4 linked regions of the Arabidopsis thaliana genome follow. The protein of the gene in region 1 interacts with the protein of each later gene in a pairwise test. Each region holds a gene or a part of one and is shown on either strand. Other genes may lie near its edges. The genes, in order: IAA11, ARF19, RGL1 and TPL.

Region 1 (6,228 bases):
AGAACTCTGTACAAGAAATGGTATTCTAACGGATTCTGCGGCGACGAGACGGCGAGCAAAGGTGAATGGCCTTGGAGATTAATGGCGTTTCATAGATTAGGGTTTACAGCTTCCGATATCTTGGCATGTATCAAAGAATCAAACATGATCGGAATGGGAGCAACCGGAATCGTGTACAAAGCAGAAATGTCACGATCAAGCACAGTTCTCGCCGTGAAGAAGCTCTGGAGATCTGCCGCGGATATTGAAGATGGAACCACCGGAGATTTCGTAGGCGAAGTTAACCTCCTCGGGAAATTGAGACACAGAAACATAGTGAGGCTCCTAGGGTTCTTATACAACGACAAAAACATGATGATCGTATATGAATTCATGCTCAACGGAAACCTTGGTGATGCGATTCACGGCAAAAACGCCGCCGGGAGACTTCTCGTTGATTGGGTTTCGCGTTACAACATCGCGTTAGGTGTAGCTCACGGCCTCGCTTACCTCCACCATGATTGTCATCCTCCGGTGATTCACAGAGACATCAAATCCAACAATATCTTGCTCGACGCGAATCTCGACGCCAGAATCGCCGATTTTGGCCTCGCCAGGATGATGGCGAGGAAGAAAGAAACCGTTTCAATGGTCGCCGGTTCTTACGGTTACATTGCTCCCGGTAAGGTTTAAATACCATACCGATTACTAAATTGATTACAATCCGGTTTAGTCTAACAACATATGGTTGATCATTTGCAGAGTATGGATACACTTTGAAGGTGGATGAGAAGATAGACATATACAGCTACGGCGTCGTACTATTGGAGCTGTTAACCGGAAGAAGACCATTGGAACCGGAGTTTGGAGAATCAGTAGACATTGTGGAGTGGGTGAGAAGGAAGATAAGAGACAACATATCACTAGAAGAAGCATTAGATCCTAACGTAGGAAACTGCAGATATGTGCAAGAAGAGATGCTTTTAGTTCTACAGATTGCTCTTCTCTGCACTACAAAGCTCCCGAAAGACAGACCTTCGATGAGAGATGTGATATCGATGCTCGGAGAGGCTAAACCGAGGAGGAAAAGTAATAGTAATGAAGAGAACACTAGTCGTAGCTTGGCCGAGAAACATTCATCGGTTTTTAGTACTTCACCTGTAAATGGCCTTCTTTAGTATGAGATTTAAGAATCAAAAGAGGCCGATAAACTGATTCGTTCGATTCGTGTTCTGTATGTAGAAGAAAGAGAGAAAGAGAGAGAGATATGTATCTTTTGATTTAATTTTTCCATGTAGAATAAGTTTCCTTTGTTTTACATGATCATATTAACTTTGTGCATTGCTCTGAACCGTTTTGTTTTTGTGCAAGAAAGGGTTTTCTTATAGATTTTTAAAGTGTGATTTACAAAGAGAACATATAACTAACTAAAAGAAAAATGGCAGAGCCAAAAAAGAAACTGTAAAGGGGAGAGAAGAAGAAGAAGCTTCTTACAATGTTTTTGTCTTCTCTTTGATCTGTGATCTGTCTTATTACTGCTTCAAACATAAAGGGTTCTTCGTAGATTATTATTTGCTTCATAATATCATCTGAGCTGTAAACAAGGATCACACAAACACGGTCACAACGACAAAACAATGATTTTAATACAGATATCAGGATTTGATCGAATCAGTAAATGTACCTTTACCAGTAGCCTCCGATGTTTTCATTATCCGGAGCCTTCTCACTGAACCAATAAACATCCTAGACACAAGTAAAACTCAGGTTCAAACTTCAGAATTTGACGCTTACACGGGACAAAGCATCAAAAGCATAAGAACATATGTATGCATACCCCCACGGAACATCGCCAACAAGCATCCAATCTCCTTCCTTGTCTTCATACGTTAGTACTAATCCGGAAGACCCATCTGGTAGTATCTTGACCGGTGTTTCCATGTGACCATCGGTTTCTAGTGTGCGTGAACCTGATTAAAGAAAGAATCATAACTTCATTTCCCATACCAAGAACCAACTTCAAAGGAACCAAAAAAAAGGCCATGAGATTCGAAAAGCACACCTAATTTAGGTTTCAGAAACATTTCCTCTAGAGTGTTTGACAATGATTCATAGCATTTATGAGCATTCAGATCGATTTTCCTTCCAATAGGAATGCCATCCATAGTCACCTTAACAAACATGGAATTTCTCATCTTTGTTGAATCACTTCTATTCTTGTTTACGGCTTGACTTATCTCCAAGTTCGGATCTTCAGTGGCTGAAGCCTTAGCTTGGTTAACCATACTGTTCATTCTGTAAGTCCTTATTGGTGGCCATCCCACAACTTGCCTGCCATTTTCAAAGGTTTCAAATTGCTCAAATAAGAGTAAACACATAAAAAGGGTTATAAACACTTCAGGGCCTTGTAAAATCAGATACCAAGAGAATCACTATACAGGATTAATCACTTTCTCTCCAAAGCTAATAAATACTTTAGAATCCAAGAAGAAAAAAACTGTCATCTCTAGAAAACGATAGTAAGATTCAATTTGAAGATATAATGACCAAAGCAAACTATCTAATGATCAGGAAGATACATTCAAAGTCATCTATACGTAACAAAGGTCGAATCTTTTCAGATAACTGTGATCAAGGACATTCTGTCTAATCAATCCCATAACCATAAAAAGCAAAAATCAAATCTTTATTTATAGTTCTATTGATAATCATGATATTAAGAATCCCCAAATAAACCATAATTGATCAAAATGTAAAAGAGGAAAGGGAAGAGAATTTCACTCACCCACTAGTTGCAGCCATGGAATCAGCTGTCCTCTTGATCCCAGCAATTACGCTAGCTCTGCTCAGAGAAGAAGATGATGAAGAAGAAGAAGAATCATCAGCGTAAACCCTACAATCTCGATACCCTTTGCGACCAAGGCTCAACGTAAGACCAAGCTCAAGCTCATTCCCTATAGGAGAAGAAGAATCCTCACAAGAAACGACGAGATTTTCATCGTTTGACAAAGCCGAAGCCGATCCACTAGCGGAACCGCCTTCCATTTTCGACAAAACCAGAAGCTGAGAATTAAGATTTTGATTGTGAGGGAAGGGAGGAAAAAGAGATGGGTTGAATTTGAAGCAAAGATTGAGACTTTAAGTAAGGCAGAAACAGTGAGAAAGAAAAAGGGAAACAAAGGATGAACAAGAAGACACGACGGGTGGGATTTGTCTCTTTTTCACTTCCCTAACTTTTAGTCTTATTTCTCGCCCAATTTTATCATTTTTTTGATCCAATAATAAATTTCTCACATTATTCCGTGACTATATTTACTAGAAACTCTTTTTTTTTCCTTCTTTTAACAATATCCACTTATGTAAGTTTTTAAAATAAAATATGTGGACTTTTGGTATAATTATTTCAATTTTTCGTAAGTTTATATAGGGAAGTTTTACAATTATGCGAAATTCCGTTGTAATATATTTATAAACTTATAATCAATTAACGATAGGATTAGATGCCAAAAAATATAATGGACAACATGATTTTTCAAAATGTATATTATTGTATTAATGTTCAGATTTTTGTAGTTGGTATTTGACTCCAAAATCTGATATAAGATCGGATAGATTTCAAAGAAAATTTGATATCAAAACGGTAGTATCCGTGGTATTAATAAAAACATTTTTAAAAGGCTGGAAAATAAAATAAAAACAAAATTCATACAAATATATATTTTCAAGAAGTGGGGGCTCACATGTCAGCTTCATGGGATTCAATCGGACGGCTAGAAAAAGATTACTTAGAAGGCTTAGTGGGACCCACGTGTACAGAGAGGGGGGACTCGTGCCCACACGTCCTTTGGTCCATCCATCTTTCCAAATCGGACGGTGCTGATTAGTTCCGGTTTAAAGCTATTGATAGTTAGATACCATCACTATATAGGTTTAATTAGTATTTTAAAATCAAGTGGCAATCTAATCTTTAATCACGTAATTAAAATTGAATTTTTAAGGCAATAAAGGAGTTTAGCTGTCCATTTTTAGTGGTGTCCGAATAAAAACCCTGTCGTCTGGAGGGAAGACATAACCGACCGTTGCTTCTTTTCACTTTCCAAATAAACCGTTCAATTTTTTAATTAATTGCATATAGTAGAAGAGTTGAATTTTCGAAAGAGTCCATGTGAGAGAATGAATACTCTGAGATTCGCTGCGGTGTGTACCACCGTATCTGATTCTCTCAAGCCCAGTTGCAATCAAACCAGTACCGGTTATCTCCGAGATAGCTAATTTCATTATCTTAATAAAAACAGAAAACCAAAACCGGTTATTTCCGAGTTGATATCTTCTTCCTCGTCTTCTTGTTAAGCTACTCTGTAGTACAGAGAGAACAAAACAGAGAATTAAAGAATCGATTTAGACCAAATTGTATGTGATTCGTTCGGACAAGAAGCGATGATGAGGGGATCTCGGTTTCTCCTCTCTCGCGCTTCTCTGTATCACCGTCTTCGCTCTGATCATCACCATCACAGTTTCTCCAGTTTTATCAAACGTAGCTCAATTCAGAGATCACCAGCTATCAATGCATTCTTCACCGATCCATCTCCATCTCCATCTCCAGTCAACGCACGAGTCTTCTTCTTCTCAACTTCAACTTCAACTCCAAATCAAGATCAAACCAAAACAGCATCATCTAAGAAGATCCTCCGCACGATTTCAAGCTATCTATGGATGAAAGACAACCCAGAACTCCGATTCAGAGTCATCGCTGCTTTAGCGTGTCTCATAGGAGCTAAGTTCTTGAATGTTCAAGTTCCTTTCCTCTTCAAATTATCTATCGATTTACTCTCTTCATATTCATCTTCAACAATCACTGATTCAAATCCTTATCTACTTGCTGCTTTCGCTACTCCTTCTTCCGTTCTCATTGGCTATGGCATTGCTCGATCTGGATCTTCAGCTTTTAACGAGCTTCGTACTGCTGTTTTCTCCAAAGTATCTCTCCGCACAATACGATCTGTTTCTCGTAAAGTGCTCTCGCATTTACATGATCTTGATCTTCGTTACCATTTGAATCGAGAAACAGGAGCTTTGAATAGAATCATTGACCGTGGAAGTCGCGCGATTAACACGATCCTCTCTGCTATGGTTTTCAATGTTGTTCCAACGATCTTGGAGATATCAATGGTCACAGGTATATTAGCATACAATTTTGGACCTGTTTTTGCTTTGATCACTTCTCTTTCCGTTGGATCATACATAGCTTTCACATTGGTTGTGACACAGTATAGAACTAAGTTTAGAAAAGCTATGAACCAAGCTGATAATGATGCAAGCACAAGAGCTATTGATTCTCTTGTAAACTACGAGACTGTTAAGTATTTTAACAACGAAGATTACGAAGCGAGAAAGTACGATGATTTACTCGGAAGATATGAAGATGCTGCATTGCAAACTCAGAAGAGTCTTGCGTTTTTAGATTTTGGACAGAGTTTTATATTTAGTACAGCTTTGTCAACATCAATGGTGTTGTGTTCTCAAGGGATTATGAATGGAGAGATGACAGTTGGTGATTTGGTGATGGTGAATGGTCTTCTCTTTCAATTGTCTCTTCCTCTTTACTTTCTCGGTGGTGTTTACCGTGAAACCGTTCAGGGTCTTGTTGATATGAAATCATTGTTCCAGTTGCTAGAGGAGAGATCCGATATTGGAGATAAAGATACAGAGACAAAGCTACCTCCTCTTGTTCTGAGAGGTGGAAGCATCAGTTTTGAGAATGTACATTTTAGTTATCTGCCAGAGAGAAAGATTTTGGATGGGATTTCATTTGAGGTACCGGCAGGGAAAAGTGTAGCGATTGTTGGTAGTAGCGGAAGCGGCAAATCGACGATTCTTAGAATGATTTTCAGGTTCTTTGACACAGATTCTGGTAATGTTAGGATTGATGGTCAAGATATAAAGGAAGTGACACTAGAGAGTCTTCGAAGCTGCATTGGAGTTGTCCCTCAAGATACTGTAAGTTGCCATTTTGACTAGAATTGTTCTCTTACATTTTGTTGTTATTAGTCTAAACCGTGACAAATTAGGTAAAATGTTAGTTATCTACTTAGGGCTTATTGGAAAAATCTATTTAGGGTATTTTAAACTTTTTTGTTATTCAGTCACAATTTCTACATAAATCACATGCAGATGACATTTTACACTCCAAAAGTGATTCTGATTAAACCTGATGATCTTAATTTTCATTTTAATATCAAATCGATTTAA
Region 2 (9,931 bases), on another chromosome or scaffold:
ATTAATCCTTGAATTTCACTGGCTTAATTGATTACTGAATTGTATATTTTTTTTTCTTAAAAGATATTCATTGAAATGATTATATTGAAAACCCTTAAAACATTAATAAGGTCGTTGTCAAATATATCAGAAAATAAATATATAAAAATTAATAAGACAAATACCCTTATTGCCTTTGTTTGAATGGGCCTGAAATATTATTATTAGGCTTAATCGTACAACTTAAAGTAAAAATTGTAATTGAAATTTAATAAGACAATACCCTTATTGATTTTAATGGGCCTGAAGTATTATTGTTGGGCTTAATCGTACAGTTAAAATAAGATTTGTAATTGGGCCTAGTGAAAGCGATTGGAGTGGATGATATCATGATAATATGATCAAATGACGTCAGAAGATCCAAATATAATTGTTTTATTAAGTTTGGCCTTTTCCCATCTGAAAAATCTAACACGTGGGAAAAAAATAGTGAATGAATAACTCTTTATCCCAATGATCAAAAAAAAATTGGGTAAAGAACTACAAAAAAAAATAAAAAACCCAAGTCAAAATTTTCAGATTGTGAATAATGGAATTCAAAAATTCCAAAGAAACATGGAACCATCGGCGTAAGTCTCTTCTCCAAGCTGATAATAATCTTGTGTAGGCGAAAGCTGCTCTCTGAAACGATCACCGGAGTATTCATCGGAGAAATCATCAAACCCAGGGAATAACCCAAACTCCGAAGCGAAGTTACCCGAACCAACCGTCGGAAGCATACTCAAAAACTCCGAATCAACGTCCATCGATGTTGAAGCAGATTCTTGCCGTATCTCGTATCCTGCTCCGCCACTTGAATCATCCTCCGCCGAATTAGCGAACCTCGCAGCAGCTTCTCTTATCTCAGATCGCGACAAGTTACGTCCGCCGGAGATCACCGGAGGATTATCAGGGAAATTGAACTTTGCGTTGTTGCCACGGAGACAATAAAGAGCCGCGTCGAAAGCACGCGCCGCCTTCTCAGGAGTATCGTAAGAGCCCAACCAAATACGTTCTCTGCTGTTGGGAAGTCTGATCTCTGAAACCCATTTTCCCCATTTCCTCTTCCTCACTCCTTTGTACTTTGACTGCATCGAAGAAGACGACCCTTCCATCACGATTAAACCAAACAAAGACGCGATTGAACCAACCCGGTATGATTTCTCTGTTTTCCGGTTTAATTTTGTTCTGTTAAGTTTTTTCAGTGAGCTCTGTTCTTCAGTGTTAGTGTTGATTTGAATTGAGATAATTGTATTTGGCGCTTCAGAAATTTATTTATACGAGTGAAATAAAAGAGTGAAGAGTGAGTTTTTGACTTTTTATGGCGCGTGAAGAAGAAAGAAGGTCAGCTTCAAAGGTCAAAGGGAGCGCGTTTGTACTTAAAACGCCGCAAAGTGTCAGGGGAATGGACACGTGGCGGATGTTACTAGAAGCTTGAGTCTTAATGTGTGTGGGTCACAACTCACACGGGAAATCTCAGAGACTGTTTGGTTTTCTTGTCCTTGTCCTTGTTTTTCACGTGATTCTTTCTTTAACTCCTCTCTTTTCGTTTTCAAACGTTGAAATGTTGAATATTTCGCTGCGTCTAGAGGATACTGGTATAAAAGAATCTGAAATGATCCCTGATTCTTAGGAGGCACTGAAGAGAAGAAGAAGAAACGACCAAAGATTCATGATTAATGAAGGTAATTGTTTAGTTACATTAACATTACATCTTAGTATCTCTGTATAAGATATGCTCCTCATAGACTTGTCAAGCATTATACTTGTTATACAAATATGGAAACAAGAAAGTACAACAACATCAAGTTAGAATGAAAAATCAAATCACTGTCCTATAAAAATGTTTATATACCGTGCAGTATCTTCTTCTTCTCAGTTTGTTGTTTGCAGTACATACACACAAAAAAAAACATGTACTTTGCGATGGCCTCGAATGATAATGTAAGTTGACTTGGTATATTTGCATCTTTTTATTTCTATCTGTTGAAAGAAGCTGCAGCAGAAGTGTCTTCATAGTGTACTTTCCAAGCATTTCCGCTGTCTGTTTCGCTGCAGGCTTGGTTTGTGGTTGGGATAGCTGCAAGATCTCCGTCTAAGCTCATTTGCTGAACTTCTACTGATGATAGTATCTTTATGTTCTGCACGCAGTTCACAAACTCTCTGTGGAAAAAACAAACAGACAAGAATTATCAGAATTGTTCAATCTTGACTGTTACAGATAGATTTTTCAGGTCTGGAACGTACTCCCAAGGATCATCACCAACTAGTAAAATATCGTTTTCGTGATCGGTGTAGACGAGTTTCCAATCAGAGGTTAGCGGATCTTCGAGCTGTCCTTCGATGCCAAACATTCTCGCTAAGTCATGCCTAAGTTCATCATAGCCGCTATAACGGGTAACATCTATTGATCTACCTACTGACCCTCGTTTTTGAACCTTCAATGATTTAACAACTTTCGGCATTTAGCATTCGAAAATTAAGAAGCAAAAGATTAGAGCTATGGAAAGGGAGAGAAAGATCTCTAACCTTTGTATATGTTCGCATTCGTTGAGTCTGATTGGGCCACAGTCCTCCACCATTCATGATTCCTGAATCATTGATGCCGCCAACCTCATTTGAACATCCGGGCTTAAAGGGAATGCTGGGAATACCAAATGACTGAGAACTGATTGCAGCACTGGACAGCTCCGTCTCAATGTCTCTTGGTGTGTTGCCATAGTTGGGAACCAAGTTTTGAAAGTCCTTTTGAGAATAGAGTGGATCAGAAGTTACGGCTTCGAGATTACCAGGGAAAGCTAAGTTGTTTCTTGGATGATGAGATTGGCAGTCTCCATCAAAACCAAATGATGGTAGTGGGAAAGTTTGTTGCTGCTGTACAGGGCCAACAACATCAGGACAGTACGTCGTTCCCGCTGTGGATACATCGATTTGATCTGTTACCGCGCTTTTAAATCTGAAATGTTCACCAGCACTCTTCATATTCATCATGCCTTGACTGATCCGGCTCTCAGTTTTTGTATAAAGCTCTTGGACCGGATTGCTTGCGCGCTCAAAGACTGAATCAGATGCAGATACAGATGCAGCTTGTCCTTGCTGTTGATTTCTGCTCAGGAAATTTGTCGGTGAAACATTATCATGTCCCGTGTTATTGGCGGAAGGTGAGGTTGAACAAGAAGGAGCTTCTCCATCTGTGTGGCCAGAATGTGATCTTCCAGCGGCTACAAGATTTTTGTTACTCATCTGTCCTTGCTGCTGAGGACTCACCTGAATCTGTGGAGGCTGCATGAAAGTTGAAGCTGGGAAGCTGTTATTACCATGTGCCAAGGGCTGTTGATTTTGAGACGACAGAAGTTGTTGCAATTGATGGCTTTGTGTCTGCTGCAACGCTGATAATTGTGGCTGTAAGGATGAGCTTACTGGAGGAATCGACTGCTGCTGTTGCTGCTGCTGTAGCTTCTGCAGTAGCTGCAACTGAAGCTGTTGTGAAGGACTTGGTTTTGATGATTGTTGTTGCATTTGGAGTTGCTGAGGATTTTGGGACAGATTTTGTTGTAATGAATGGAGAGAGGACTGTTCTTGCTGGTTTCTTAATAACTGGCTACTGTTATGCATTTCCAGTTGCTGCTGAAACTGCATTTCTTGCGCAAACGATGTCATTTGAGACAAGCCTTTATTCCCCATAGAATTTATGTTCTGGTGTGTCATTTTAGCACCAGTAGGGAGCATTGACTGCTGCTGAAGCTGAGACTGAGAGAATCCAGTAGGTTGGTTTGGACTTTGACAAGAGACTTGGTTAGCAACAGCAATCGTACCATTGTTATAAATCCCTTGTTGCTGCACCTGTTGCTGTGACATCTGTAGTTGTTGTTGTTGTTGCAGTTGTTGTTGTTGGTGTTGGTGTTGTTGTTGTTGTTGTTGTTGTTGTTGTTGAGATTTCACCATGGCTGGTTGTGCTTGCATCTGTTGGCTGATATGGTTAACCGTGTTCGGTTTGTTGAATTGGGAATTTGCGGAAGAGAGGTTTGGGGATTGGAAGTTCAACAGCTTGGAAGGGTCGTTGGAAGCAAAATTGTTTGGTAGGTTAAAAGATGAGAGCGCGGACGGGAGCTGAGGAGTAGCAGAACCTGACAATGGATTGTTTTGCTGCATACTCATCCATTGAACTAGACTTAAACCAGGGAACATCGAACTCTGTGCGTCCTTCATCCCAAAGTCTTCTCCCATCCAAGGCATTGCTCTTTTGAAAGCATTTTCCATGTCTAACTCATCATCTGCAACAAACCACCAAGGTTAGTATCCGGAAACTCAGTCAAAGATCTATGGGAAAAAAATGAACGAAAGCAGTAAACTCACCTGGCATCCCGGGTTGCCTCGGGTACTTAGGTCTGAAAAATGGAGGAGGACATATGTAAAAAGGAGTTATGACGGGTTCGATTTCCCATATGGATACTCGGCTTGGCCTATCTCCAGCTGTTGATTCATCCCATCCTACCTGTTTAAACCATGAACAAAAGATTCAGAAGAAATGACCATCATAAACAGTTTAGCATAACTCGGATATGTCATTACCTGAAGATTACGCCATTGTGAGCCTTTCCATCTTACAGGGTCAAGATCACTAATACCTGTGACTGTACCCATATATCTACGAACCCCACAATCCTCAGTCTCAAACATCATCCGGAATCTCATTCCTAGAGATACTTGAGCGTATAAGGCTTTGTTGTATTTGGCTAAAGGAACTACAAACTCTGAAGGACTTGCCCTTGGATTGAAGAAGATGGTAAAAGGGCTACTATTGGCATTAGCATGAGCTGCAGCTGCAAGTATCCCAATGTGCATACTGTCGCTGGATATGACCGATGAGGAAAGAGTCGGAGTTTGTCTATTTGCACGTCTTATACCCAACATCAGCTGTGATTTCTCATCTCTGCAAACCCAAGTACCCTTATGAGAAGATGAAAGTCCAATTCTGCTTAATGTTTTGATCAAAGTATGACTCATACCTTACAAACAAAACTGAATCACCCGCAAATAGTCTCTTTGTGCTAACAAAAACGCTCCAACCTGTGGTAAGCAAGTGTCTTTTTGGTTGGCCTGAGATCAGATTACATCAAAGAAAACAAATCAGGTTGAAGTTTTCAATCTTTTAGACTAATAAAACAAACTTTAGATGATTCAAACCTCGATAGATATGTCTGAAAGTCCATGTAGTATCATGTAAATCTTTAGCTACAATCTCTTGCGCAGGCGGTTGCATCGAGAAATCCTATTTTAAGCACCCTTAGAACTTTTAGCAAAACAGATTCAAAAGTTTGAAGCAAAAGAAACTGAGAGTAGCTTTGATCAGAGAGACATACAAGAGGAGGGAATATTTTCTCAGCTGCACGACGCGGTACAGAGAATCCACCATGAGTGCTTGTGTCACTTGCAGTAAGAGTCTTGCAAAAAAACTCAGTAGGTTGTCTGTTTAGCTTCAAGCCCATATCAGAAGCTAGCAATGCTTCTCTATCATACTGTCACACATTTTGAGCAAAGATCAGCATTAAAGTCCTCAACTTTAAACCAAGATAGCACAAGAAGAATGATATAATTCAGACCTTATTCACAGGTTGAAGAGTCATTTGTGCATAGACTTCATCTGTTTCGGTATCAGCCTGATTCAGAATTTCACAAAAGTCCTGATTAGTTCATCTTCTTGTTGATTCACAAGTTGGAGTCAGAAGAGACTTACATGTAATGTAACACTGTGAAGCAAGCAAATCAGCTTAGAAGGAAGATTTGGGTAATTTGGTATAAAATCTGTTTGCTTCTGCATCGATGCTGCAACCTGAAAAAAGGTTTCATTGAACATATTACTTAGATTGCTACCAAAGGTTTCAAAATAGTTTGAAACGCAATGAACTTACTTGCTCGCTGTGTCCTTGAGGGAAGTAAACCACAAGACTTCCCACAGGAGGTAATGAAACTAAAGGCCCTGCACAAGCGTGCCATAGTTGAGAATTGATTGGCTTCTTCTCTCCTGTTCATCATCATCACACACATATTCAAATCTGTTAAAAGTGATAGAATTTTTGCATAGTTTCATTTAAAGTCTGGAAATTTTATGAGCGGCATTTATGTTTCAACCACTTTATTAAATAAAGTGATAGAAGAACTCGATTTGTGACTTTGTGCTGACTCCAAAGTTGAAATTGAATAACAAAATTCATTTTTTCAATGAGAAAATCACAAACATGAAATGCAGAAACTCCTTGATGAAGAAATTGAATAGTATAAAATCTGGAAAAGAAGAAGATAAATATAAAGCTTGTGTACCTTCGTTGGAACTTGGAAGAAATCCATTTGATGGAGCTTTCATGGTTTATAGAAAGAACGAAAAAATTGGTTTGGTGCAGGGAAGAAACAGAGTTCTTCTTCTTCAGCAAAATTAACGAATCTGTATTTGCTCAAGAGAAGAGCACGAGAGAAACTAAATAGTAATAATTTTGGAAACAAAAATCATTCTGCTGCTAAGGAAAAAGAAACAAAAGCTTTTTTCTTCTTTTTAGTTCATAAGAATATTTGAAGCTTCAAAGCAAATTTTTAAGCTCTTAAAAAGCTTTGAAACTTTTCTTTTTTTTCTCGTGTTTCTGCAGATTCTCAAGTGTTTTTTCAAAAAAATAAAAACAATAATCGATATTGAGATTTAAGCCGATTGGGATCGGATACATGCGGAAAGATGAAATCTTTTCTTATGCCTTCTGACGTGGCACCCCACTTGATGTCTTCTTCTTGTCGGTCCCACCTTTTTTATTTCTTTTTATTTTTATCTTTTCCGATTATAATTTACTGTTGTTGGAAAAACAGTCCATGGTTTTAAAATCTGTTAACTTTCCCTCGTTTTTATAACCATATTTTTAATTTTTTACTTTAGTAATACGGATTTTCTTATGAATGAGGTTATACCATAAACCCGGATATATTGAGAAAAACCTAAGGATTAGGTTCGGCGGACCGAAAATTGCAAGCCAAATGGGGACTTAAATATTTTCTAATCCAAAGTTGTAAACTCTTGGTTACCAGAAAAGATGTCCCACTTTTTTTCTTTTATATACATATTTTCTGTTATAATATAGTAGTAGCTAATAAGTTTATTCATTTATATGGATTGGTCCAAATTGAGACATGTCCGTATAATGCGAGAAAAAAAAAAACACTACTAGTAATTTAATGACTTAATTATGATTAGAATAATATTCCTTTTGATACGCAATGGAGCACCCACTAGCCGCAAAAGGAGGAGAACTTCACATGTTTACAGAGCTACGGACATCATTATACTCCAATTAAAGCTAAGCCTTCATGTGTAATTATTAATTTTTCAGGCAATTATTTTATTCATCTTCTTCTTTTTTTAATCAATAGTATAAAGTGTTCGTTTTTGTTTTAATTAATGTATAAAGTTCTTTACAATTAATCTGGACCGGAGTAGAGTTGTTCCTTACTTTCAGCTCTCTACGTATGCATATAAAATGTAGTTGTAGAGCCTTTTTCCTTTCAACGCCGATCTTTCTTATGAATTTTGCTTTCAATTAACATATACTATAATAGTATTGTATTTCTGAATCTCAGTATACATGTATTTAGTGGGGGAGGTTTTGACCTAATTATTACCTTTTTGTTGATTTATATGTAATTAGGGATTTTCTATGTTTAGACAAACGGAAATAATTTGGAACATTTAAATATCTTTCGAGAACAACTCTGACTCTTTCCAAAGTAAATATTCTTCATTGATATCATGTCAATACATTCATTGAAAACATGATGTTATTTAATTAATATGAATTATATATAAAAGATTCAAATATATAGTTTATGTTTTGATCAAAACAGAAGAGGGTTAATAAATTAAAACATTTCACATGTAAAAGAATTCAAGTGGTAATCTTTTGGTGAGAACATATGAGATGATCACACCTCCAAATGGACATTAAACAAAAACCATAAGAGCTCATTAATATATGTTCAACTTATCGCGGTTAAACAAGAAATACCGAAGATTAGCCATGAACTTAGCAGTTTAATATACATCTCTTTCTAGAGTAATTTATAATTTACCACATGTAAATTGATTAACCAGACAGCTACATGTTTATAAATGTTAAACAAGAGATGAGGTGAAGCGATCTCAAGAGCCTTACCTAGTGAGCAAAAGAAAAAGGAATGTAAAGTTTGATAAGTTAGGTTTAAACATATATTATAGAGGATCAAAATTTGAAAAGATATGGGACGACAAAGTAAATCTCAACAAGAATAAAAAGTTGGCATGCTTTAGTGTTTTTTATGCCTTTTTGGGTCAATATTTGCTGCGCGTGGAGAGTATATGTACGTACAACAATTGATGTGTTTAGAAATCACTCCTCATCAAAACGAATTAACCATTCTAGTAGTAGTAACACTCAATCATTGTTGATATTTTTTTCACCTCCCACTATTGACTTTTATATCTATATAAAATTAAATTATAATTGGATTTGATCCACGCATCCTGCAAAAGTTTCCTCAAATACATACGCATGCACCATATATAACAAAAACTTGGGACTTTTGTGAATTCCTCAATTTCTACCACCATTACAGAAAGAGTCAATAAATATATCGTTTTTACTAAAATAACTAAAACACAAGAAAAATGTATGTGCACGTGAGTGTGGGTGCAGCATGCACGTGAGGTGTGGCAGAGGATGTCGGGAGAGACAGGCTCTAGACTCCGACCGAGTCTTTCGGTTTAGCCAAAATGGTTTTGCTTTTAAGTGAGTGTATGCCTCTATGTCTCTTCTCCTCATCGTAACCACACACACTCTCTCTCTCGTTTGTTCTACTATTTCCCAACCAACAATATTTTTTATTTTTCTGTTAACTGGAATTTAGACTATCTTAAAATCTTGTTTTGCACACTAGTTTAATGTTTCAGTAGTACAAAAGTACATATGTTCTAATGACGTTATCAAACAAGGTATAAAACCATGAAATTCTGAACCAAAATCAATATGAAAAAGCTGTGTATTTTTGACATAGAAAACGTTTCTAGCGGCTAATTATGATTGACATTATGGTGAAAGGAATTGATCTCTCAACCAATGTGGTAAATTTTTATACTATGAATCTTGACTATCATCTATTGGTTTAACATTGATGGTTCTCTCAACATTCTTCTTTCTTAACTTTTAACAAAAAAAATCTTTTATACAGTGTTGTGTCAGATTAATAAACCATAAATTTCATCAAAAATTAATTGGTTCAATGAAAAAAAAGTTCCTAATTAACTTTGACATTTTTCATGTGGTAATTTAATTTTTGACTCGTTAATCGATATAGTTGTTGTTACACAACTTGTGGGGAGAAATTTCACTTTACCCTTGATTATTCACATTTTTCATTTCTATTTTGCATACTACAACCGAATTCATGATCTAGTCAGCAAAAAAAAAAAAAAAAAAAAAAAAAAAGAAAAAAAACTGGTTAACGTTTACTGTGTTTACAACTTGGTTTTACATTTGTTTATTTGCTCAATCCAATAATTAACCCAGATACGGATGAATCTAGCCCAAACAGACTCATCAGTACATTTAATTGGCTTCGCATATTAATTTTTGCTAAGACCGAGCAGGCGAGCACACATGTACATGAGGATTCATAAAGTTGTAACTCGTAATTTAACGAAATTCCCAATTAGTTAGAATCTTTACTACGATATTATTTATCTATATAACTTATGGCTGGTAACTAAAAAATATTTAAAACATAATATGATCAGATTAAGAGAACAACCAAATTCTTAACTTTGGCAGCTACTGTAGAGACTCAAAATGATCGTTTGTATTGTATGATCAAATAACATAAGTTAACTAACCATGTTGGTCAA
Region 3 (6,617 bases), on another chromosome or scaffold:
AAACGAATTTTGTTAATCTGAATTTTTATTTTATTTTATTTTTTTAGAAACCATGATAAAAATAAAACATGATAGATCAAATTTTAACCCAAAGATTACACTACAATGGTATTTAATCCATGAGAGCTAAAACAATCACACAAAAGTTTACAAAATTAACTCAAAAGAAAAGATTGTTTTGTATGGTTTCTAAATTAACTAAGGGGGTGTTTTTCGTTAATGGATTTTATAGAATTGAAATCCAACACTAATCCACTATTATTTAACTAATGATTCTAAATCCAGCTTTAAAATCTAGTGTTATTGGAACTCATATTTGTAAATCATGCTTAATAGATTCTAAAGTTTGGTGTTATTCAATTAAGATTTTAAATATTTCATTAAAATCCAATGTTATTCAAAACTAAAAGACTTGTAAAATCTTTGTATATTAATTGATTTGAAATGAAAGTTCTTTAGAGTTTCATGAGTAAATCATTAGAATCAAAATCCAAGACATATTGCAGAGATTTTGAAATTCATACAAACATATTCTTAAAAGCAATATCGGAAAACAAATCTAAAGCTTAAAGAATTGACTTTAACTCCATAATTGAATAACACCACCTAAGACATTAGTAAATTGTAAGTGAATAAAAGAAAGCAACAAAAATAGTTAACAATTGGTAGATAAGAATTACATGCAGTGTAAGAAAATTTCACAAGGACTCAAATCACAATTATCAAATTTTGTAAATAGATAAGAATTTTCAAAATATCAAGTTGTCTAGCTAAATACTTAAGATTGTAAACTGCAATTCAAATTCAAGAAATTAAAATGGACATATATAGGGAAGTTATGGGCATGTATGTGATCTCGTACATCCCTTAGAGCGAGGTCTAAACCATCATTTGGAAAGCTCACCCCTTCCAACACAAATCGAACACATGACTTCTAAAATCTCTACGTTTTCGGTGATCAAAGGGATTTACCACTAGAAGTGCCAAGTTGACGGTTCTTGGGAATGTAAACTCTACTTCTAGGTTATGTTGGATATGCTTTCAGGAGGAATCTATGACCCTATTGCTAGGATTTAAGTCCCATCGCAAAAATATTACTCTGCTCATTTTCTTGAATTTCTTATATGGGCTATGAAGACCATTCTATCAAGTGCACTCACATGGTAGAAACTAAAGTCGGATCTCTGAGCTGATCATGATAACGCAATACCCCTTTGAGTGGCTCCACTTTAGTGGACTATTGTTTTCTCTTATTGTACTTTAGGTCCTCGTGAATTAATCTCTCGGACGAAAGTGTTTAGCATGTAGTATTTTAGCCCATTATTTGGGTAACCAATTAATGTTTATTCCCTTAATGTATTGGTGATGATAAAAAGAGCAAGTAGACTACTAAGTTCTTACCAACCAATAACCGAAGGTACCAAACGATTCGAAATTAAAAAGAACGAATAATACTGATGAAAACTGTTGAATTAAACAATGTCATAGAATATAGTCACTTAATTATGACTATTTCTCTTTCAAGGCACTAATCATCCTTGTAAATCATCATACTTTCCAACAAGTATTAGTAAACAAAACCTACTAAACTAAAATAGAACCTTAATTTTAATTATCATTGTTTAGACATTTTTACATACATGTTTTGAGGAAAAGTCTCCTAACTATCATAATGATCAAGTCTAGTCTACTATTAATAGCAAAGAAATTAAAGAAACTATCAAAAATATTTGGACCTAGACATCAACATCTAACAGTATAACCTAATCAATCAAAGTAACAATCTTGGTTCGAAATGAGGATATGCATTATGTGAAAAGGGTCATTGTAGAACTATGAAAAATGGTTATGCATATGGGGAAGCTTAAAAATGTTTTATGATTGCATGTATCTTTCTTAAAGCTCATACCGAAAGAGCTCCACATCTAATAATGGTCGTAACCACACAGTATTTTATTTATTCTCCATCTATCGCCTTTTGAACATGTCTAAAACACAAGTATATAATAAAAATGCGTATTACAACACAAAAATATATAATACTAATATCGCTAATAAGAATATAGAATGATATTATTATATATTCTTGTTGGGTTATTTTGACGACAGTTCTTAAGTCAACTTAATTATTTTTGCAAAAGACATTTTTGCACGTTAGTTGTAATTTTTTTTCGCAACTAAAAATATATGCAAATATTTTACATAAAACATCTTTTGCTTTGTTTTGTCAATCTCTTATGCTTACACTACTTGATAGTCATTTCTTTGAGGAAGAGCGCCAATCCTACAAAAAAAGTAAGAAATATTTATTGTTACAAAGGTGATTCGAATTCGAGTGATAATTTCACAACGACGCTTACAAGAATAGCTAGATTTCATGTATTTTCCGATTACCAATTTTTTTTTGTATCAACAACAACATGCATATGAGTTTGAACTTCGACGGTGTCACATCAGCTCTTGCACACTAGCACAAATCACTAAATTACGTTTTTAGTCAATTAAAAATAATAAAACATATACAAATATGACCACAATCATAATACTACAATTGAATGGCGATGATATAAATTCAATTTTTGTATTAGTAATACGGTTTGAAAATCTACATTCGAAATGTGAAACGTACAATGCCATCATTATGCAAAAAAAAAAACAACTTTCAAACATTATTCTATATGAAATGGAGGAATTGGTAAAAATAGAATTCATTACATCACCTAAAGATTAATCACCCGATAATATAAAAACAGAAAACTAAACAAGATTTCCCTGAAATTTATAGTTTAATATATTTTCTTATGAACATAATGAATTTCTTTATTTATTCTCATTTATGAAGATGATATAAAAGTTTGAACAATAATCACAACACAACACATAAAAAGTAAATCTCCTAATCACCAAAAACTATAAAAATGAAATGTATGTTTTTGTAGTTGAAAAAAGGGTGGTGGTTGGCTTTAGAAATTGGACTTTTAACCTAAATGTTTCTCTACAATACAACTTCCAAATCATAACCGTTATTTAATATTACACCTAGTCTTCATCAAATAATCAAAATCACAAAATAATCAAATATCAAAAACAAGTTGTTATAGTTTTTAATCAAAATAATTATGACATAGCATAGATTATAGAATATCTCGTTCAAATAATGATGTCAGGTTTACATCAATCAAACTGAATTTTCTCGAGAAGCATATTTTGAAAATTAAAATTTATTCGCAGAAAAAGAAGAGAAAGGAATCTACTATTATTTACTGTATATTATATAAAGAGGAAAATAAAATAGGTAAATAAATTTCCTTTTATAATTGCTTTAGATTGCGGTTGTACCACGGCTCTGCTCTTGCTTTTAAGAACTTGCCGGTACTAAATTTCATATACTCCAATTAAAAGCTAGCTCGAAACCCCAAATGTTATTTTATTTTTCTATATAATAATAATCATACATTATAAAAAAAAATCATATCATTATTTAAAAATAGAATTTTATTTTTCTTTCTTCTTCTTCAATTATTATGACACTCCCGTGTTCCTAATCTTTTCTCTTATTCTTCTCTTTCTTCTCATCTTACAAAATCTTGCAAATCAATTTTAATGAAGAGAGAGCACAACCACCGTGAATCATCCGCCGGAGAAGGTGGGAGTTCATCAATGACGACGGTGATTAAAGAAGAAGCTGCCGGAGTTGACGAGCTTTTGGTTGTTTTAGGTTACAAAGTTCGATCATCCGACATGGCTGACGTGGCACACAAGCTTGAACAGTTAGAGATGGTTCTTGGTGATGGAATCTCGAATCTTTCTGATGAAACTGTTCATTACAATCCTTCTGATCTCTCTGGTTGGGTCGAAAGCATGCTCTCGGATCTTGACCCGACCCGGATTCAAGAAAAGCCTGACTCAGAGTACGATCTTAGAGCTATTCCTGGCTCTGCAGTGTATCCACGTGACGAGCACGTGACTCGTCGGAGCAAGAGGACGAGAATTGAATCGGAGTTATCCTCTACGCGCTCTGTGGTGGTTTTGGATTCTCAAGAAACTGGAGTGCGTTTAGTCCACGCGCTATTAGCTTGTGCTGAAGCTGTTCAACAGAACAATTTGAAGTTAGCCGACGCGCTCGTGAAGCACGTGGGGTTACTCGCGTCCTCTCAAGCTGGTGCTATGAGGAAAGTCGCGACTTACTTCGCTGAAGGGCTTGCGAGAAGGATTTACCGTATTTACCCTCGAGACGATGTCGCGTTGTCTTCGTTTTCGGACACTCTTCAGATTCATTTCTATGAGTCTTGTCCGTATCTCAAGTTTGCGCATTTTACGGCGAATCAAGCGATACTTGAGGTTTTTGCTACGGCGGAGAAGGTTCATGTTATTGATTTAGGACTTAACCATGGTTTACAATGGCCGGCTTTGATTCAAGCTCTTGCTTTACGTCCTAATGGTCCACCGGATTTTCGGTTAACCGGGATCGGTTATTCGTTAACCGATATTCAAGAAGTTGGTTGGAAACTTGGTCAGCTTGCGAGTACTATTGGTGTCAATTTCGAATTCAAGAGCATTGCTTTAAACAATTTGTCTGATCTTAAACCGGAAATGCTAGACATTAGACCCGGTTTAGAATCAGTGGCGGTTAACTCGGTCTTCGAGCTTCATCGCCTCTTAGCTCATCCCGGTTCCATCGATAAGTTTTTATCGACAATCAAATCAATCCGACCGGATATAATGACTGTGGTCGAGCAAGAAGCAAACCATAACGGTACCGTATTTCTCGATCGGTTCACGGAATCGCTACATTACTATTCGAGCTTATTCGACTCGCTCGAGGGCCCGCCAAGCCAAGACCGAGTGATGTCGGAGTTATTCCTAGGACGGCAGATACTAAACCTTGTGGCATGCGAAGGAGAAGACCGGGTAGAGAGGCATGAGACTTTAAATCAGTGGAGAAACCGGTTCGGTTTAGGAGGATTTAAACCGGTTAGTATCGGTTCGAACGCGTATAAGCAAGCAAGCATGTTGTTGGCACTTTATGCCGGGGCTGATGGGTATAATGTGGAAGAGAATGAAGGTTGTTTGTTGCTTGGATGGCAAACGCGACCGCTTATTGCAACATCTGCGTGGCGAATCAATCGTGTGGAATAAAAATAAATAATGGGAAAAGTGAAAATGTGCTATATACTTTATTGCATTGCTGATAAAGAAAAAAAGTCCCACGTTTTCCAAATTTTATGAATTCTAAATTTTGTTCACTTGTCACGAGATTTTGACCTCGCATAAATAGACTATTACGTCAGGGTCAGGCCAATGAAATGATTTTTTATCACTTGTTCTCATTAAGGTAAAAAAGGTCTTTTCTATTTCATCTTTGGTTTTCGATAAAATTAAAATTGAATAAGAGATGAAATAATGATATATATAAGGTGATAGTCTGATAGATATGGATAAATGTTTCATGACACGAACCAGTAGTCAAGTTCTTTTGAGAATAATCCTAAGACCATGGACTTTAAATAGATTGGTTAAAGGGTCATTATCTCTTTAATTAAGGAGGACAGTGGTGTGTTTAAAATGTATTTGTGCTCTTTTGACGTTGATTTAATTAGTACCCACCGCCAAATAATATATGAGCATTCCTGTTATCGCATGTTGACATCATTTTAAGAAAATGATTTTCGTAGGTAACATTTTGTTGGTAATCAATTTAACAACTACCAATTTTATTACTTTTAGAAGAAATATGCATGAGCTGACATAATTATACTGTACATAAGTTCATAAGTTTCTGTCGGTAGAGAGGTTTGTTCATCAGGAATTCGTAATGACGCAAAACATAAATTTGTCTTTAGAAACTTTATATGAATATATAAATTTGGGAAACTATTATAAATCCTCATAAATTTTAACAAATTTTCAAATACTTTTACCTTTCTAAAACTTTTATATGTTGTTTCTTATAACTTACTTACACAATTTTGTAACAATTTTCCAAGTATAACCAGAATTGTTTTGGTAATAAAACCTTCCTCAGAATATGTTCTTGGAAACGAGATTTTAATTTGATGGGCATCATCATTCTTCGACACTACAACCATTTTAAAATTTTGTTTTACTCGTTGAAAGTATTTTCTTTTCAATAATGGTGCATTCTAGGTTTGATTAAATTGTGAAGTCCAAACCCAAGCCCAATAAGGGAAGTTTGAGGCCTAACCCAACTCCTAATATAAGTTTCTCGTGTGTGTAATTCTATGATATTACCTTTTTACGATAATTTAATTAGTCATTTTAAAAATCTTTTAATGAACTAATGACGCGTCGAAGCCGCGATTAAAAGCTGCAAAAGTACATGCATGAAGTCAATGTATAACGCTTTCTATGGTATTGACCTTGGCAAGTTTAAATTTTTTAGGCTCATATTTCGGACCATTTAAGGAAAGCAATATCTAGAAATGGAATGTAATTACAAATGTTCTTAAACACGACACCAGTCATTTAGGAAAGAAACACGAGACTTTTTCTCTTTGGTTTTGACTGATTTTTGAGGTCCTTAAAATTAATACCGAAACCACTTCAGAGGTTAAGATGTCACTTCATCATTAATTGTCCTACACACCAAATTTTCT
Region 4 (9,931 bases), on another chromosome or scaffold:
TACTGATGCTGGTCTTTCCGCGCTCACAAGTAAGTCCTTCCAGTGCAAAGTTATTTGCTTTGGTATGATGTGGTTACCACCTCTTGAGTAACCCACTGTCTGTTTTTGTTCTAGGTTTGACAGGGTTGACGCACCTTGATCTCTTCGGTGCTCGTATCACAGATTCTGGAACAAATCACCTACGAAGTAAGTTTTTGATGTTTATTATCTATTCTTTTCCGTGGAGATCTGCCTCATAAACTTTCTTTGTTGGTTTTCTTCTGATACAGACCTGAAGAAACTGCAGTCACTTGAAATATGTGGTGGTGGATTAACCGATACTGGTGTCAAGAACATAAAAGATCTTTCATCCCTCACTCTCCTCAATCTATCACAAAACTCCAATCTCACAGACAAAACACTGGAGTTGATTTCTGGTAAATATACAATTCTTGTTCAATGAGACAAATCATATGTACCTGAAACCTGAACCATAATCTCATAAAACCCGCAGGATTGACCGGATTGGTCTCTCTGAACGTCTCAAACTCTCGAGTATCAAGCTCAGGACTACGTCACCTGAAGCCATTGAAGAACTTGAGATCTCTGACCTTGGAGTCCTGCAAGCTCTCTGCTAATGACATCAGGAAGCTTCAGGCGACTGATCTGCCAAACTTGGTCAACTTCCGTCCTGAATAAAATAATATGTTCAAAGGCAAATTCACGAACTCTGTAAATAGATCGATCTCCTCTGGTCTCAGACTAAGACACTGCTCTTAGATATATCGTCAAAAGCTATGCTCTTCTTCGGATTATTTGCTGAAGAAACTGTAAATAAAGCTTCTTTCAAGCTATGGCCGGACGAAAGAGTCCTCCATGGCTCTTCTACGTGGTCAGCTTTCAGGATCTGTTTGGTTTGTTTATCTACTGAAGTGAACCAACATAAACTGTCACTCTTGTAAATATATGTAAATTCGAAATATCGACTGTAATATATAATTGAATATCTTGCACAATAGAAAATCTATGTGAAGGTAAAAATCTCAGAAAAGGAAAAGAGAGAGAAACAACATCAGTCACTGTTTTTATCCAAACTTCACTACTGAATTACTGTGAAAATATGTTACATCTAAATGTTAAGAATCTCTGGGTCATAAATTTTTCTACCAAAAAAATAAGAAAGAAAAGACTTTTAAATAGAAGAAAGGGAATCAGAGAGGTAGGTGGCTCTCGGATCAGATCATCTCTGAGGCTGATCAGATGCAGAGGCTCCAACGGAAGGTGCAGTTGGTGCACCGCTAGCCGACCCGTTCTCAGCCGGTGGAGCGACTCCCCATTTACCTTCAGACTCGAGCGGTTCGAATATGTGCACTCCCCCGTCTGAGAGACCAACTGCAAACATGTTTGGTTCTTGCGGATGTGCAGCAATCACTAGTGGATGTACGTTTGAATTGCTGCACAAGTCAACAAGAGGAGCTTTATGATATATAAACAACTAACCGATTGATGTTTAGAAACGTTCTTTCCGAAATTTAAAGATTCCTCTGTTTTTTTGGGTAAATTTCAAGATTCCTCTGTTTACCTGAGACTAGCTGGTAGATACGCAGAAGGGTTGACCCGGCAACGCAGCCGTAGATTTGCAGAGCTAAATACACAAACTGTTGCATCCATAAAACTCGCGTAGACCAATTGGCTATCGCATGAGAATGTGGCATGAGTGATTGGAGCTAATGATTCTCGAACAGCCCACTGAAACATTGCAATCATTAATCATCTTTCAAATGCAATAAATTGCAGATCTTAGAGAGAGCGGCCTATAAATATAAAATACCTGTTTCATGCATTCGAGCTTGGTAGTTTCGTATATAGCAAGTTGCGTCTCGTGCACAACGAGGAAGTGAGCTTGATCTTGATGGAACTGAACACGCGTATCTGAAGGTGCACTGTTTGGTCTTCCCTGTGGAAGTGGCAAAACCTTGCTTCTCTGCTTTTCCCATCCATCTGTGTTCCAAACACAAAGCTGAAACAAAAACATTTCAAAGACTATTGATCTTTTCTTCATCGATTCTCAAAAAAAAAAAAAAAAATGGTCTAAGGCGGGAACCTGTGCATCTGCTCCAGACGAAACCAACACGTTTAATACGTTGGAGAAGGCAAGACCAGTTATTCTCTTTGAATGACCTTTAAGCTTACTCTTCACCTGCAGGAGCAAACAAGGAACATGATGGCCATCATATTAACAAACAAAACACTTCATCTTCTTTTCTACATTCTTCTCTTGAGTTTTGATGCATTACCTCATCAACACGGACATTATAAATCTGAATCGTGCTATCATCCATCCCAATAGCGATGATATTGTTGTCTTGAGGATGAAAAGCAAGAAAAGTAGCAGCCGGTGGTGGGGGCATGAAAGTCGCCATTGTCTGCAAATTATTAGCCAAGAACAGTCAGTCAAATTGCATACACAGAACATCAAAAGATCAGCATCTATGTGTCCCCATTACCTTAAACGTCATCATGTTAAATAAGGATATCTTTCCTCCGGAGGCTGACATTACATATGAATCATTCTTGGATAAAGCAAAACAAGGTACAGCTTCCTCGGGATTGGTTTCAGCAACATCGTTAGTCATGAGGATCCCACTAGCTGGTTGCCACTGCTGAGGCGGTAAAGAAGCTGTCGCCTACACGGAAAATCGAGATGTAGAGATCAGTGACACTTATCATTATTTGACTAAGAAAGAGTCTCAATTTCACCTTTCCAGTTGCGTTGCGCTCATTCCGCTGCCATTTCCATAGAAGATGAATTGCGTTTGATGCCAGAGCCAAAATAGCATTTCCCGAATTCGTGAAAATCAATCTTGATATCTGCCAAAAGTCATTGGTTTTATTGTCAGAAAAAAGAACAGCTATATATATATACCCTATACATGGCTCAGAAAATGTATATTTTATATACCTTGGCTACTCTCAGATTCTCAGGGAGTCTCAGTGACCTGCATTGAGAAGGCTCGCTGACTTCAGTAAGCTTCCATATCTTAGACTTATCATTTGATTCTTCTGTGATCACTGGCTTCACATCCACCATATTCCGCGAATCTCCATTCTAAAAAGGCAAGTGATGAATAATAGAAAGATAAAATAAAGTGAGTGAAAGAACAAAAAAGAATTGTATTTCTTACCATTCCTTGGATGGAAACTACATTGGCTGATCGATCTGCGTGACCAGCACTTGTTGCAGCAGCTGCCGCTGCCGCTGCTATGCTGTTTATTGCAGGCTGCAAATGTAGAATGAAGTGTTGACTAAATCTTTCAATTGGGTGTAAGTAATTTAAAGCTTAGCTTAGATTTTAAGTACCTTGGAGGATTCAGATGATATGTTCTCAAAAGTGTGCAATAGCCTTAGACCATCTGAGTTTGCCATAATCTTGATCACATTCTCGTTGCCAGACACGGCCAGGAGAGAGCCTTCCTTGTTGAACCGGATACGCGGGCTTGCCTAGTTTAAATATATTAGAAGCGCAAGTTAAGAAGAAACTCCAAAAGAATATCTGAAAACTTTTCTAGTTAGGCATTTTTTGTTCATGTACCTGGAGGCCTCCATCGCCATCAATGGCAGTTAAAAGCTGTACAGCGTCCATATCCCAGAACTTGATGGAGAAATCATCACCCGCAGCTAGATAACGGTTTTTAGTTGTATCAAACTGCACAACACCTAGAGAACGCTTGTGGAATCCTTGATAAGTTCTTTTAACAGCTCCTTCGCTTTCATTCCACTCAACAATGAAAGACTCTCCATCTTTACTCGTCCCACAAGAGAATAGCCTAGTACCATCGGCACTATAAGCCATTGTAGTACACCAGCGACCAGGTGCATCATAGTCAACTCGGGAACCCATATTATCATACAACCAAGCCTTAATTTTCCCATCAAGAGCTGTTGAAAATATGAACTTGATGACAGGAAAAATACAACACATCAAAAAACTGAAACATTTAATAGAAGGGAGGGAGATCAACGGTTAGCTAAGCTTACCTGAATGTTTTCCTTGTAATGAGGACAAACGGAATAAACAGGAGCTTCATGGCCTTCAAAAGTATGCCTTTTGACACCTGTTGCAGCGTCCCAAACCTTGATGGTTTTGTCATCACCACAAGTTATTACACATAGTTGCTTGTTTGGAGTCGAGAAGGAAATATCATTCACACCACCAACATGAGCATCAATCTGAAATAATCACAATATTACAAGAAAATCCCCAAGGGAAAAAACGATTGTTAAAGAGAGAGGCTTGTGAATGGTACGAGACCTCAAGGTGTTGCCTCATGTCTTCACCTCCGTGATAAGAGTATAGTTGTACAATATGTCTCGAGTAAGCAACTCCTGCAATTCAGAACGTTTGGTGACTTATAAAGTTGCATTCATGTGCAGATATAAATTTAAAGGCGAGTTCTTTACCAAACAAGGAACCGTCAGGGCTCCATATCACACGGTTGACAGAAACGACAGGTTCTTTCACCAGAGCAGCCTGAAGATACAACTAATTCAGTCACTGTAGATTCATAACATATATAAAAGTTAACATTTTGTTGTTGCTATGCATAGGCACCTGCAAGGGCATTGAACATTTACTCAAATCCCAGACTTTGAACGTCTTCTGTACTAATCTTTCGCGAGAACCAACTTCCCACAGCCCGATATCACCTACATTTGTACCAACTGGTACAACAATTCAAACGAATTTAGAAAATTGCTGATGATTATTATTATTATTATTACACAGAAGCACATACAGAGAGCAAGAAACACACCTAGAAGCAGGGTCTGTTTAATTGGATGGAAATCCATGCTCATGGGAGATGAGCCCTGACTCAAAGTTCTCGCAACTGTCTTGGGCAAGTCGTCAGGTGCTTTGAAAGCCGGAGAATGACCATGGGCCTGCCCTGAAAATGACATCGGTAACATGTTCACGCCTAGATTCACCTCGTCAGAGATTCCCATTGGTCTTGTTCTTTTTGAGACATGTTCAGAATCTGCTGACGGGTAGTCTAAAGAAGCATTAGTTGGAGGAGTTCTCGGGTGCTTCAACGCCGCTATACCAAAGATAGGAAAGGAGTTCCATTGTAAGCAAATTGCATAGATCACACAAAGTGTGTCTGAAGAAACATACACATTTGATAAGCAAGTAGTACCTGGGATTGATGGACCACCAAGTGCAATGGCTCCTGCTGAGACAGCTGGATGTGGGACAGAGGATGGACTAGACATCCAACCAGCAAGAGGTGTTGGAACAGGTGACGCCGTTGGTTGAAATGGCTGGAAACATAGAGACAATCAAACACTTGGCCTCAGGAAAACATAAATAAAAATGATAGAAACTAAATTACCCCGTGTGCGCCTAAAGGAGGAAATCCTCCAGCCTTTGGTATCCCTCCAAGCAGTGGATTGTTCACAGGAGATGGAGCTCGTGCGCCATTTGGAGGGCCACAAGAGTGATCCACAAAAAGAGTCTTGATATCTGGATTTGGCCTTGGATTTTTACAAAGCTGGTGTTGCCAATTTAAGCTGCGAGTTATGCAGTAACAAAAGATAGAATGAATTAATATGCCAACAACAACTTGAAGTGAATAAGACAAAAAGATTAAGGGACAAAGCAATAAACCTCTGGTTGATCAAAGTCCTCAGCCTTGAATTTCTAAGAGTAGGGAACTGCAATTTATCACGGAATAAAGGATTCGCCTCAATCAGCTTTTTGAGTTCCACCAACATGATCGCTCTTGCAGACTTGGTGTCCCCATACTTGGATAACTGTTCATTCTCCCTAAAAGTTGATCAAACTCGAAACACTTAATACTCTGCATCAATCTTTCTTTTGAACTACGGCTAAGAAAACAAAGGCTTTGGACACTACATTAATCCAATATAACATTACCGGAAGTTCTCCAATGTCAAGAGCTGTGTTATTTCCTTGAAAAGCTCCTCATTAAAAGTTGAAAACACTTTCAAATCCTTCACTAGTATATCCACAGCCTTGGGACGATCATGCCTACCAACAAAAAAGTCACCAAGGTCAATCACAAATCAGACTCTTTTTCTTTTGCTATCTCACTGAAAGGAAAAAAAAAAAACAAATCCCCAACCATGACTTACTTATCCAAAGCCTCGAGATACTTCTGCTTTCTTATCTCGAAGAATATCTTCATAGAGTATCTATTATCATCTACTTTAGTGAAACCAGAGAGATACTTCTCAACCTCATCCCAATTTCCATTGTGAACCTCATCCTCAAAATACTTCATATTGAAGAAAAACCCAGATTCTTGTTCAAGCCTGAACATGACAAAGCAATAATGCATTAACCAACACAAGAGCTAAACAGGTCAGTTGGTAAATTAGATCCAAGGAAATCTACAGAGCAAAAGAGACATACTTGTGAACAGTCTCTTTAAACTTCTCTTCATCGAGAAACTGTAAGATCAAGAAAACGAGCTCTCTACTAAGAGAAGACATGTTTTCTCTCACTTCCTTAAAAGACTTTTTTCTAACTCAGATGCACAACAACTAACCAAACTATCACCAGATCTGCAATATAAACAATGGCCGAAATGAGCTCAAATCTGAGTTTCCAGATTATGGAAATTAAAAAACACGAAAAGAGAAGTTAGAAATGAAAGCTAAAAACTTGGAACCTATATCTGAATAATTATCCAGAAACTTCGCATCTCTGCAGATAACGGCAAAAAAAAGAGGAAATTTAGGTCTTCCTGGAATTGGAAGATGTGAATTTAATAGCTTAAAAAAAGAATCTTTTTTTACTACATGAAAAAAGCAAATTAATTATCAGAAAGGGGGATGAAAAAATAAAGCAAAACCCAGAAAAAAGTTTGGGCAAAAGGATAAAAAAATATATACAATAAAACTCGAAACAGCTAGATTCCATTAACAGAGGCAACAAAGGTAGAAGAAAGAAGCGTGAAGCTTACTCACCATAAAGAGAGAGAGATCGATGAAGAAGAAGAAGAAGACCACAGAGACGAAAGAGGTGATGGATTGATTTTTGGACTCTTTTTCTCTCTATCGAAAAAAGGAAACTTGAAAGAAAGCAAAACTAAATTAAAAAGCTTCTTCTTCTCTCTCTCTCTCTCTCTCTCTATCTAGAGAAAAAGGGATTTTCTCTCTCTTCGAGATATATATACGGACATTAAAACTTGCAGAAATGGAGATTTTAATAAGAGAAGGTGACAGATAATTGGATGCTGATAAAATAAGTTAGCTATCACTCTAAGAAAAGCTAACTGCGATAAGCAGGAATGATAAGTAGAACTGCTTATAACTACGACTTGATCGGCTACATTTCTCGACGTTATCGGCTCGGAATATTAGTTGCCAGCTGTACTCCACAGAGGTGTGATCCACTCCTTCGCGATGAGTTTTACACCTATCTGGAAAACCGTCGATTTTGTCAGATGGCGCGGAGGACGGAGATCTAACGGCTAGAGTTTCATTCAATGTGTCAGACTTGTCTCCAGATCCCTCGTGGCACGACAAAGCTTTTTATATTGAGTCATTGCCCTCAAGTTTGACTAATATTTACGGATATGACATTGAAGAGCCAATTGCTCTTGAGATGCGTTAACTCATCGAACATCACGTGATGGAGAAATGTTCAACTCGTAAAGATGCTACGTCGTCTTTCTTCTCGGCGAGATACGAAATATGATTTATAAACTCGGTTTATCACGATTTATACGATATGGCTGATGTTCCTCATATAAAAAAAACAAGAACAAAACTAATACTACTAAATATTTCAATATTATAGTATTGTTTGAACATTTCTTGGTCCAACATGTTGCTGAACATTATCATTATTCTTTGATAATATTATTCTTTATTTTTAACTTTTTCATTAGAGGTTAATTTAGTGCATGATTGGTTGTGAAAAATGTAAACGTAAGGATGTGGATAGTAGTTCCTATTAATTCTTTGTATACACAAGAACCACTTGCATTGACTATTATTGTTAAGATGTTCGTGATAATTTATACTTTAGTTTTGTTTGTTTATAGATAGATTGCTACTAGGAGCAGGTGGATCGGAATTAGCTGGATTCTTTCCGTTTAAATAATAGCAGGGGAAGGAAGTACAAGATACTATAGCTTAGAAGTAATAATAACGCAAGGATTAATTGTAAATGAAACCGAATGTGTATTGTTGAAGTTATAAATAACATTTTTAAAATATATTAGAGGGGTGAAGATATCGATGGAGGATGGGCAATAAATGAGAGTTTGTGTAATTTAGAGTCGCACGTTTGAGTAATTTGACATCTATCCCGTCCAAACACAAACACTGTTGTCTCACCATCACCACACGTAAAGCGATAACATTTTCAAGTACAAACATAAATATGTAATCGTGATTTACGATTTATTTAATTTAGCGTGTGTGTCTATCTATTTTTAGTTTTTTTTCTTACAGTAGTTGTCCACTACGACTAGTCTACTACTAACCATCACGAATCGCGAGGTCATAAATCATAATAATAATTAAAAAAACGATATACAAGTACTGAAATTCTTTAATACGAGCAAAGCATAATATTTTAAGTTTATAACCAGTTTTTTTTTATTTTACTAAAGTGTAATATCATAACTGAGGTAGGTTGGATAAACTAATGAAACGAAGCGTTCAAACCATTTAAGAAACATGATAAGTATTAAAAATAAATTATACTATTAGAAATATCTTATATATCTTTAAATGTTAAAAATATTTTATTTATAAAAAATGATAGGTGTGAAGAATATATTTTTATATATTTTTAAAAAACTGGATACGTGTTAAAAATAATTTAGAAAGCAAACTGTACTTTGTTAAAAGCTTTAATCAAACAATATATATTGAAAAGAATCGTTATGAGCGCAACACAAATATATTCTAAACAAATTGATTGTAGTCTAATGATTAAGTTAGAATGATATCAAGAAAAAGAAAAAAGTTAGAATAATAGAGATTTTGTCATATAGATATCACAGTTAGAATAAAAATCCCATCAAATACAAATCTACACTCTTACTTTTATTTTTGATAGAAAAATTCTATGTATTTTACAAATTTCGGAGAATTTGCTCGTATTAAAGAAAATAATGCTATGTGTTTAATTCATATCTTATAACTAAAACATAATTTAAAACTTACTGTATTAATTAAGAGAAAATAAAATCTGACTTATTTAATGGAAAGAAGAAGAAACAAACTATAGCATCACAATAAATAAATAAATAAAGGAGTTAGAATTGAGCATTGAGGGATAGATGGTGGTTGCAATTTTTTTCTTTAAGTTAAAAAGCTATCCGGCCAAAAGCAAAGCAAGTGGGTCCCATCCGGCGTATCTGTCCAAAAGTCTCACTATCACGAGATCAGTGACGCTCTGATCAACCTCAGCCCTAACTTCTTCTTCTTTCTTTCTTTTTTTCGATTATTATTTCCCCATTTAATGAAAACGAAACGTTATTTATTTTAATCATTCACGATTTAATAACGACTGCTAGTACACATCTGCCTCTACTCTATACCGGTAACTGTGCGATAATCCCCCAAATTGAATGATAAATCCAACTTCAGATTCTCTTTATTTTCATTTCTCCATTGACTCTAATATTGAACTCAACTATTGAAATTTTCATTTAGCAACAAAATTTGCCAAGTACGTATGGCCAAAAATATACTCTAGTATTAGAAATTGTTATTTTAATCGTCAAGAAAGTGGTCTTTTATTAAGGCATTATTTATTAGTTTTAGGGATATGTCGCTTTCCATTAATGTATGTGTCCCCTTCTCTTACACGTTCACATAAAGGTTTTATTGCTTTGCCATTTTCCTTATTCTTCCTTTTCTCTGTTTTTTCTTCTTTTTCTTTTTCTGGTTCAAATTCTTCTTCGTTTT

Evidence for each region.
Region 2: the proteins of IAA11 (region 1) and ARF19 interact in binary tests that used the Arabidopsis thaliana proteins (3 or more experiments, as listed by UniProt).
Region 3: the proteins of IAA11 (region 1) and RGL1 interact in binary tests that used the Arabidopsis thaliana proteins (3 or more experiments, as listed by UniProt).
Region 4: the proteins of IAA11 (region 1) and TPL interact in a two-hybrid assay, tested with the Arabidopsis thaliana proteins (3 studies listed by BioGRID).

What each region holds. Positions count from the first base shown.
Region 1 is NC_003075.7:14,139,084-14,145,311, reverse strand, and holds IAA11 (indole-3-acetic acid inducible 11), read right to left. Parts: upstream 3,178-6,228; 5' UTR 3,025-3,177; coding exon 2,765-3,024; intron 2,311-2,764; coding exon 2,042-2,310; intron 1,950-2,041; coding exon 1,817-1,949; intron 1,726-1,816; coding exon 1,664-1,725; coding exon of another isoform or gene 1,635-1,663; exon of another isoform or gene 1,574-1,634; coding exon of another isoform or gene 1,569-1,573; coding exon 1,384-1,568; 3' UTR 1,343-1,383; downstream 1-1,342. Other genes in the region: AT4G28650 (Leucine-rich repeat transmembrane protein kinase family protein), read left to right, coding at 1-661, 742-1,157; ABCB23 (ABC transporter of the mitochondrion 1), read left to right, coding at 4,417-5,976. UniProt on the Arabidopsis thaliana protein: Aux/IAA proteins are short-lived transcriptional factors that function as repressors of early auxin response genes at low auxin concentrations.
Region 2 is NC_003070.9:6,626,398-6,636,328, forward strand, and holds ARF19 (auxin response factor 19), read right to left. Parts: upstream 6,737-9,931; 5' UTR 6,383-6,736; coding exon 6,340-6,382; intron 6,044-6,339; coding exon 5,931-6,043; intron 5,852-5,930; coding exon 5,756-5,851; intron 5,679-5,755; coding exon 5,622-5,678; intron 5,538-5,621; coding exon 5,382-5,537; intron 5,291-5,381; coding exon 5,206-5,290; intron 5,119-5,205; coding exon 5,028-5,118; intron 4,952-5,027; coding exon 4,591-4,951; intron 4,514-4,590; coding exon 4,375-4,513; intron 4,293-4,374; coding exon 2,548-4,292; intron 2,457-2,547; coding exon 2,266-2,456; intron 2,182-2,265; coding exon 1,998-2,181; 3' UTR 1,286-1,997; downstream 1-1,285. Other genes in the region: AT1G19210 (Integrase-type DNA-binding superfamily protein), read right to left, coding at 576-1,133. UniProt on the Arabidopsis thaliana protein: Auxin response factors (ARFs) are transcriptional factors that bind specifically to the DNA sequence 5'-TGTCTC-3' found in the auxin-responsive promoter elements (AuxREs). Could act as transcriptional activator or repressor.
Region 3 is NC_003070.9:24,744,724-24,751,340, forward strand, and holds RGL1 (RGA-like 1), read left to right. Parts: upstream 1-3,381; 5' UTR 3,382-3,603; coding exon 3,604-5,139; 3' UTR 5,140-5,463; downstream 5,464-6,617. UniProt on the Arabidopsis thaliana protein: Probable transcriptional regulator that acts as a repressor of the gibberellin (GA) signaling pathway. No effect of the BOI proteins on its stability.
Region 4 is NC_003070.9:5,413,867-5,423,797, forward strand, and holds TPL (Transducin family protein / WD-40 repeat family protein), read right to left. Parts: upstream 7,168-9,931; 5' UTR 6,971-7,167; exon of another isoform or gene 6,708-6,970; 5' UTR 6,673-6,707; exon of another isoform or gene 6,566-6,672; 5' UTR 6,494-6,565; coding exon 6,414-6,493; intron 6,314-6,413; coding exon 6,134-6,313; intron 6,030-6,133; coding exon 5,916-6,029; intron 5,805-5,915; coding exon 5,646-5,804; intron 5,549-5,645; coding exon 5,371-5,548; intron 5,300-5,370; coding exon 5,176-5,299; intron 5,077-5,175; coding exon 4,795-5,076; intron 4,703-4,794; coding exon 4,593-4,702; intron 4,512-4,592; coding exon 4,442-4,511; intron 4,367-4,441; coding exon 4,293-4,366; intron 4,211-4,292; coding exon 4,019-4,210; intron 3,936-4,018; coding exon 3,573-3,935; intron 3,482-3,572; coding exon 3,341-3,481; intron 3,261-3,340; coding exon 3,165-3,260; intron 3,089-3,164; coding exon 2,942-3,088; intron 2,851-2,941; coding exon 2,740-2,850; intron 2,667-2,739; coding exon 2,487-2,666; intron 2,406-2,486; and 11 more. Other genes in the region: AT1G15740 (Leucine-rich repeat family protein), read left to right, coding at 1-29, 115-186, 270-416, 494-678. UniProt on the Arabidopsis thaliana protein: Transcriptional corepressor. May repress the expression of root-promoting genes in the top half of the embryo to allow proper differentiation of the shoot pole during the transition stage of embryogenesis. Regulates the expression of PLT1 and PLT2.